2 linked regions of the Pelodiscus sinensis genome follow. The protein of the gene in region 2 purifies or fractionates together with the protein of the main gene of each other region. This does not show direct contact. Links are inferred from orthologs where the notes say so. Each region holds a gene or a part of one and is shown on either strand. Other genes may lie near its edges.

What was found.
Region 1: the proteins of YAF2 (region 2) and DCAF7 purify together in Homo sapiens (affinity purification with mass spectrometry; 3 studies listed by BioGRID and IntAct, counting the BioPlex papers as one, with this or other methods). This does not show direct contact. The link is inferred for Pelodiscus sinensis from reciprocal best matches to the Homo sapiens genes YAF2 and DCAF7.

Annotation. Positions count from the first base shown.
Region 1 is NC_134739.1:6,490,359-6,494,101, forward strand, and holds the start of DCAF7 (DDB1- and CUL4-associated factor 7), read left to right. Parts: upstream 1-935; 5' UTR 936-1,185; coding exon 1,186-1,323; intron 1,324-3,743. UniProt on the Homo sapiens protein: Involved in craniofacial development. Acts upstream of the EDN1 pathway and is required for formation of the upper jaw equivalent, the palatoquadrate. The activity required for EDN1 pathway function differs between the first and second arches.
Region 2 is NC_134711.1:53,359,895-53,363,637, reverse strand, and holds the start of YAF2 (YY1-associated factor 2), read left to right. Parts: upstream 1-797; 5' UTR 798-1,162; coding exon 1,163-1,188; intron 1,189-1,422; coding exon 1,423-1,548; intron 1,549-3,743. UniProt on the Homo sapiens protein: Binds to MYC and inhibits MYC-mediated transactivation. Also binds to MYCN and enhances MYCN-dependent transcriptional activation. Increases calpain 2-mediated proteolysis of YY1 in vitro.

The sequences.
Region 1 (3,743 bases), on a different chromosome or scaffold from region 2:
GCGGGGGGGGGGGGGGGAGGAAGGAAGGTAAGTGTCTGTGAATTGCTGATATTAAAGGTAGGGAGAGTGGGATGTTTGTGAGTTAATGGTATTACAGGTGATAATTGGGGAAACTGTCTTGGTAATGGGTGAGATAGTTCAAATTCTTGTTAAGTCCTTGTTGGCAAGTGTCGAATTTTAACATGAATGACAGTTCAGAGGATTCCCTTTCAAGTGCAGATGTAAAAGGTCTTTGTAGCAGAATGCAGGTGGCTAAGTCATTTAGAGAGTGTCCTTTCTGGTTAAATCTGAGCTGTCTACACTGGCCCTTTTGCGCAAAAGCTTTGCACAAAAGGGACTTTTACCCGCACGGGAGCAGCATAGTATTTCCACAAGAAGCACTGATTTCAGATAGCAGGAAGTCAGTGTTCTTGCGGAAATTCAAGCGGCCAGTGTAGACAGCTGGCAATCTTTTTAGGCAAAAAAAAAAATCTTTTTCCAGAAAAACTTACCAGCCTAAACACTGCCGAGCTGACCTGCTCAGGGTAGTTATACCCCACCCAGTTATAAGACCTGGGATTCGAACCTGTAACTCTACACAGCTCAAAGAGCTCTGTTAACCCCTACAGGGGCCCCAAGCCCCGCCCGCTGCCCACCAGCTCACCCCTTACTGACACCTTTGGCCAGCCAATAGAATGACAGGGTGCTAGAAGGTCCCGCCTCATGAAGGAGCGAAGCCACTGCGACCCGTCGCAGCCAATGAGCTGCTGAGAAAGAGCATCCCATCCGTCGGGGGCGGGATCGAGCGGAGGATTCTATTACGGCGGCGCGCTCCTCCTTAGAACGAGCGGCACAGGGGCCAATAAGAGGCAGGGACGGCTCTGACGGGCAGGTTCCTCACCCAGCGGCTGTCCGCGATGCCCTGAGTGGCGGCGGACTCAGCCAACGGACGCGGAGGAGGCGGGGCAGCCCGCGTGGTTTCCGCTCCCGTTGTGTGAGGGGGCCGAATCCCAAACGGTCTCCGCCGCGGCGAGCGCTGAGCGTCTCCGCCTTTCGGAGCCGGCCGCGGTCTCCCCCCGCAGCCCCGCTCGGCCCGTCGGTGCCCGGCTTCCGTAGGCCCCGCTCGGCCCGGGACAGCCCCTCCCCCCGCGCGTCTCACCCGGGCCCCCGGCCCCTCCCCCACCCCGGTAACCCGGCGGCCCCGCCATGTCGCTGCACGGGAAGCGGAAGGAGATCTACAAGTACGAGGCGCCATGGACCGTGTACGCCATGAACTGGAGCGTCCGGCCCGACAAGCGCTTTCGCCTGGCGCTCGGCAGCTTCGTGGAAGAGTATAACAACAAGGTGCGGGGGAGGGGCAGAGTTAAGGGTGAGGAGGGGGCGGGGTTACGGGTCACGGGGTAAGGTGGGGTTGTGGGGAAAAGGGGCAGAGTTAAGGGTAAGGAGAGGGCGGGGTTACCGGTCATGGGGTATAGTTAAAGGTAAGGTGGGGTTGTGGGAAAAGGGGCAGAGTTAAGGGTAAGGAGAGGGCGGGGTTACCGGTCATGGGGTAAGGTGGGGTTGTGGGGAAAAGGGGCAGAGTTAAGGGTAAGGAGAGGGCGGGGTTACCGGTCATGGGGTATAGTTAAAGGTAAGGTGGGGTTGTGGGAAAAGGGGCAGAGTTAAGGTTAAGGAGGGCCAAGAGGCAGAGTTAAGGGTAAGGAGAGGGTGGGGTTACAGGTCATGGGGTATAGTTAAAGGTAAGGTGGGGTTGTGGGAAAAGGGGCAGAGTTAAGGGTAAGGAGAGGGCGGGGTTACGGGTCACGGGGTATAGTTAAGGGTAAGGTGGGGTTGTGGGAAAAGGGGCAGAGTTAAGGGTAAGGAGAGCGGGGTTGTGAGCCAAGGGGTATAGTTAAGGGTAAGGCAGGAAGTGTGGGATCATGGGTTGGAGTTAAGGGTAAGGTGGCTGCCACACTCGGTAGGCCAGTCACGGAGTTCTTTGTGCGGCACTTCCAAGAGAGTGGTGGAAATGTGTCACTGCCTGTTGCTGCGAGCCCCCACCCCCTTCCTGGCCTTGTGCTCCTCGGAAAGCCCATAGGAGAGACTTTGCCACTGCCCCTTGTGCGTCTTCATCGCTGCGCAGGGCCTTGTATAGTTGCCCTGTGGGGCCAGTGAGTGTCCAGGCTTCTTTCTTTCTCCTAGGGGAGATGGCATAGGAGAGTGGTGTGGCTTATAACTTTGTGGAGAACCGTAACAAGATTGGGACAGTCCTGTGGCTGAGGTGGTGGCATCTTACACTGACTAAATTATTACCCACGCATCTAATGTGCTATCCAAATGTGATGTCTAGCTTTAATCAGCAGGCTGTTCGTGCCAGTTTCACACACATAGGAGATTTAAACAAGGAAATGCAATTGTAAAATGGCAAAAGTTAGCATCGGAACAAGGGAGAGTGGAGAGTCATAAGATAATTGTAACTAATTTTTAACAAATGAGTGGTTTTCCCATTGACAATCCTAGTGCCATTTGTGCCTCCAATATAAATCATCAACCGTGAAAGACCTCACACAAACTGGAGGAAATGAACTCTACAGAGTGCTGTTGAAAAAAGTGAATTTCAGTTATAATACTTAAAGATTTACCTCGTGTTGCTCGAGTCCTGAACTCAATTAACTTTTGGGTTTTGGAAAATATCATGCAACTGTCCATGTTTCATTTGAATCATTGCCTTGGGGTAGAGCTAGAAATGAGTGGTTGAATATGCAGGCTGCCCTGGGGAGAGAGGATCACTGTAGCAGCTTGAGGTCAGGTGAGAAGCAGCAATCCATGGCGGATACAGCTCTGGGGACACAGCTGAGGGAGGGTAGCATGTCCCCTGACTGGAGCAGGTGCAGATTTGTCTGTCCTCTGTGCTCTGCAGCCTGAGTGAGGAATGTAGCAAACACTGAATGTTCCACTGCATGAGGAAGGGGAACAGCCAGTAATGTTCCCTCACAAATTGGGGCAGTCCTGGGTGTGGGGAACCCTGTCAGCCCCTTGCCACATGCCTGGTGATTCTGTCTCTCTTCATGGTTGTATGAGGAGCAATCCTGTCCCAGGCCCAACCAGATTCTTACTGTGTTTTAAGTTATGGATAATAAGAGGAAGCTGTATCCCGAATGTGATGGTCCTAGCTCTTACTATTTAGGAGGGATTTCTTGAACAGATGCACACACAAAGACAAACTCTCAAATATAAAGTAGATTAGGTGATGTCAGAGCAGGTGGAAACTTGCAGAGAGAAATATATGTTTCCCTTTTAAGAGTGTAGTGTGGTGGTAGGATGGGAAATAAACTAAGTTTGGGGTTAATGGTCTTTTGGGGGGCCAGGCTTTTTGTCAGAGTGACAGATTAAAAAAGGAATGTAATGACAGTTTACTGCCATTAAAAACCTTCTCGCTTGCAATTTCCTCCAAAAATTCTCTTGACCTGAAACTTTCCGGCTTTATTTCTCTCTCTTACCTTCCCCCCCCCCCCAAAAAAAAGGGAGGGGGGGACTATTTATACTCTGCTAGATTGAGTTATTTGGGAGGAAAACACTGACTCTCTTTGGAAGCGCCTTGTAGTGAGTAATTCAAAAACATCTGAAGGTTAAAGTTTTATATGTCAGAAGGGAAACACACTCTGAAAAATGCAGTGACAGTCAGCATTTTTCCACGGTACAGAGAGGCTAAAAGAACAATGGGTATCATAATAAAATCCAAAACATTTGATTAAAAAAGTGGCTGCATCCCATAGCTATCTGCA
Region 2 (3,743 bases):
ATAGATGGAAATGTAATCGCTAATGTACTTAGGACCTTGAGTTGCCAAATTTGGTTGGACATATTCCTGGAGATTTCATCACATAACATAATCTTTAATTAAAAATTAATCTTGAATTCCCGGAGACTCCAGGACAATCTTGGAGGGTTGATAACCCTAGTAAGACCAGATCCATGAATGGCTTTCAACAGCATGCCCACGGCTTTGGACTGGCAATGAAAATAGACCAATAACTAGTGTTGCTGTGGCCTAATCTGCGGAGAAAGTGTGCTGCCTCATTCTGTACCACCTGTTAGCATTGTTCATATTTATATTCAGTTATCCAGTTTGGAGCTGATGAATGAGGCCAGGACCCTGACACAGAGGAAGAGATGTGGTTTGAAGAGATGAAAGGAAGAGGCCTTCTGGATCAGTCCTGCCTTTATGAGGATTGGGCACACTCTTGCCTTGTGTGTAATTTACATATCATCCTAGGTGAGATGGCATATTGATTTACGTGCAACAGGAACGTGGTTCGTGCAATAGGAAAGTGGTTCTGTCATATCTGTCAGCACATGCACGTTGCATCTGCAATATATCAAAACAGGCACGGCCTGTATGAAATACATATGTCATTGCTGCAGAGGGGATCTGTCTCTCAGCCCGCCTGGCAGCTTGCTTGCCATGTGCTGTTAGGCAAGCTGTTACAGGCGCAGGAGACAACACAATGGCCGGGGGACCCCCACGCCGTCACTCCCCGCAGGGCGGGGACCCCTAGCCCGCACACGGGGGCGGGGGTGGCTGGCCCAGCACACACACGAGCTCCCATCCCGTTGCCCCCTCCAGCCAGCCAGCGCGCGCGCTGTGGGGCGAGCGACGAGGGCTGCGCCGCCGCCTCAGCAGCTCGCCGCCCGCTCCCCTCAGGCCGGCTGGCGCCGCCAGCAGATGCGAACCTGCCGCCTCGCGCTGCCGGGGGCTCGGAGGGCTGCGGGCGGCCGCTGGTTGGCGGCGGGGGGACACGTGAGGGAGGAGGGGGCGGCGGGCGGCAGAGGGAGCCGGAGTTTCCCCGACAGCTGGAGGTTGCGGCGGCGGCTCCTCCTCCCCGCTCGAGCCAGGGCCCCCCGCGCTCCTCCTTATTTACAAACACACAAAGGGCCGGGCCGGGGACGCGTCTGCAGCCGGCATGGGAGACAAGAAGAGCCCGACCAGGTAAGGGCGGCGCGGAGGCCTGGCGCCGGCAGCGCCCGCGCCCTGGATTAGCGGCGCCTCCTGGCCGGGCCCGACCCTGCGCCGGGAGCAGCGGCGAGCCGGCTCGGCCGTGCAGCGGCCATGGCGGCCGCGGGAGCCGGGCTGCAGCGGGGGCGGTCGGGCCGGGCTGCGAGCGGGGCCTGACCCACCGCCCCCGCCTGTCCCCCCCTCCCCCCCGGGTTGTGTGTGTTGCAGGCCGAAGCGGCAGCCGAAACCCTCCTCGGACGAGGGCTACTGGGACTGCAGCGTGTGCACCTTCCGGAATAGCGCCGAGGCCTTCAAGTGCATGATGTGCGATGTGAGGAAGGGCACCTCCACTCGGTGAGTGTCCGGACACCCTGACCCGGCGCGCAGCAGCCCCGGGGTGCCAGGGAGCCGGCTGCTGCAGTAGGAACTAGGTCAGGTTTATGGGGGATCCCGTCGCCCGTGGGCTGTAGGGACAGGGACCAGAAATGCTGCAGCGTTTGCTCCCAGACTCATTTAACCCTTTGGCTCTAGCAGCTAAGAGGCATTTTCCTTTTATAAAATTAACAGAATACGTGTCCAGACACTAGCTGAAATCCTCTCGAAGGGGAGAGAAGGTGAGTTCCCTTCATTGCAAGGAGCTCCTGGGGCTTAACTGGCATCTTATTGTGCTTGCATTAGGTTTTGTTTTCTATGTTAAAGTACAATAGCATATGCAAGGTAACACTTTTGAAATACAATGCCGATAGGGTTTATTAATCTAATTATGAAAATAATTTTGTGCAGCATAAAATGAGGTGTTTTTATAAATTAAAATGTGAAAATATGGTCTCTACAAAGTACAATGTGTTAATCTTCCATTTTTTCATGGTGGGTCATCAATATGCTATTTCATCTAAAGCATTTGCTTCTATTATCATTGATTTTTCTTTATGAAGTAGCTTAATTCAATTTCCTCAAAAATCCCAAACAAAAATCCCTAAATCTTATTTATTTCTATGTTTAATGTTAAAGAACTATCCTGTTTTTTTCAATCCCACCTTAGAGATTTATTCTCTCTACAGAGGTGATTCCCTGCTACTACTTTTTCAAAGGGAATGTAAATTAGCTGAGTTTTTTAATACAGTGAAGTCAGTCTGGAAATCACTGACATCTCAGAGTAAACCTTTTCCGTAGAACATCATAAACATCCTGAGAATCATTTGGATCCAACATGTTTGTATAGTTCTATTATTATGGGTTAGAACAGAGGTAATCAGTTATTTTTTGTTAGGGTTCACATTTCTTTGTCAAGGTCCAAACTACAGAGAAAATAATAATCAGTTTCCGCTCCCCAGTAAATAAGAAGATTTTTTGGCCTATTCAAAAGCATTTGGCCCACATCTACTTCTGGGTTAGAACACGCTCTAAAGGATGGATAATTTTATAAAACCAACAAGTGTGCAACTGTGGAGTCTTTTGCACATTAGCATAAGAAAATAACATGTGCTTTTATTTATTATTATTATTAGTATTAGTATTATTTATGTATTATATCTTGTCAATCCTGTTAGCAAAAGAGATATGCCACAGTCTTTTATTAAGAGTTATAAGAGCTTTATTACAAACATAAAACATAATAATACTGGATACGATTTTTGCAATGAATTTATTGTAAATTAATGTTCAAATAATTCAGGAATAGACTTGTTCTCTCTTTTGATGATGTATATTTGTAAAAAAGATTTTTAAAAATATTTTTTCAAAACTAACTTTAAATTTATTAGAGAGTTCGTAGAATGACTTGTCTTTATGATAGCAGTCAGGTTCATAACCTTTTGACATTTACTTATCATACTATGTTTTCCAGTACTAAAAATGAGGCTAGATTTCTACTTAACTTGGTTTTTCAGTTTTCAGAGAATTTAATAGAATTATACATCTTTATTGAAGCTAGGTGAGTGAGGTAATACCTTTTACTAGGTCCGCTTCTGTTGGTGAAAGAGACAAGGTTCCCAGATCTGAAGAAGAGCTCTAGGTAAGCATAAAACCTTGTCACCTTTCACCAGCAGAAGTTGGTCCTATCAAGATTATCTCACTCATCTTGTGTGTCTACTATCCTGGGACCAACTTGGGTACAACAGTACTGCAGATATAGATCTTCAGTACTGTTGTACCCAAGTTGGTCCCAGGATAGTAGACACACAAGATGAGTGAGATAATCTTGATAGGACCAACTTCTGCTGGTGAAAGGTGACAAGGTTTTATGCTTACCTAGAGCTCTTCTTCAGATCTGGGAACCTTGTCTCTTTCACCAACAGAAGCGGATCTTAATAGTTAGACGCATCCAGCAAAAAGCTACCATGCTTGTAAGAGTGAAAGCAGATTTCCCCAAGTTCAATACAAGTGAAGGCAACAGCTTTCTTTAGCTTTTATTAAGGACTTGGAGCAAGTTAAAATAGTGTTTTATTACACTAAAACAATCATTTCAGGGAAAAAGTACAAGTGGCATTGGCTAGAGAGATAATTAGGGTACACCAGTGGTATAATTGTTTTATTCTGCAGTATTTTAA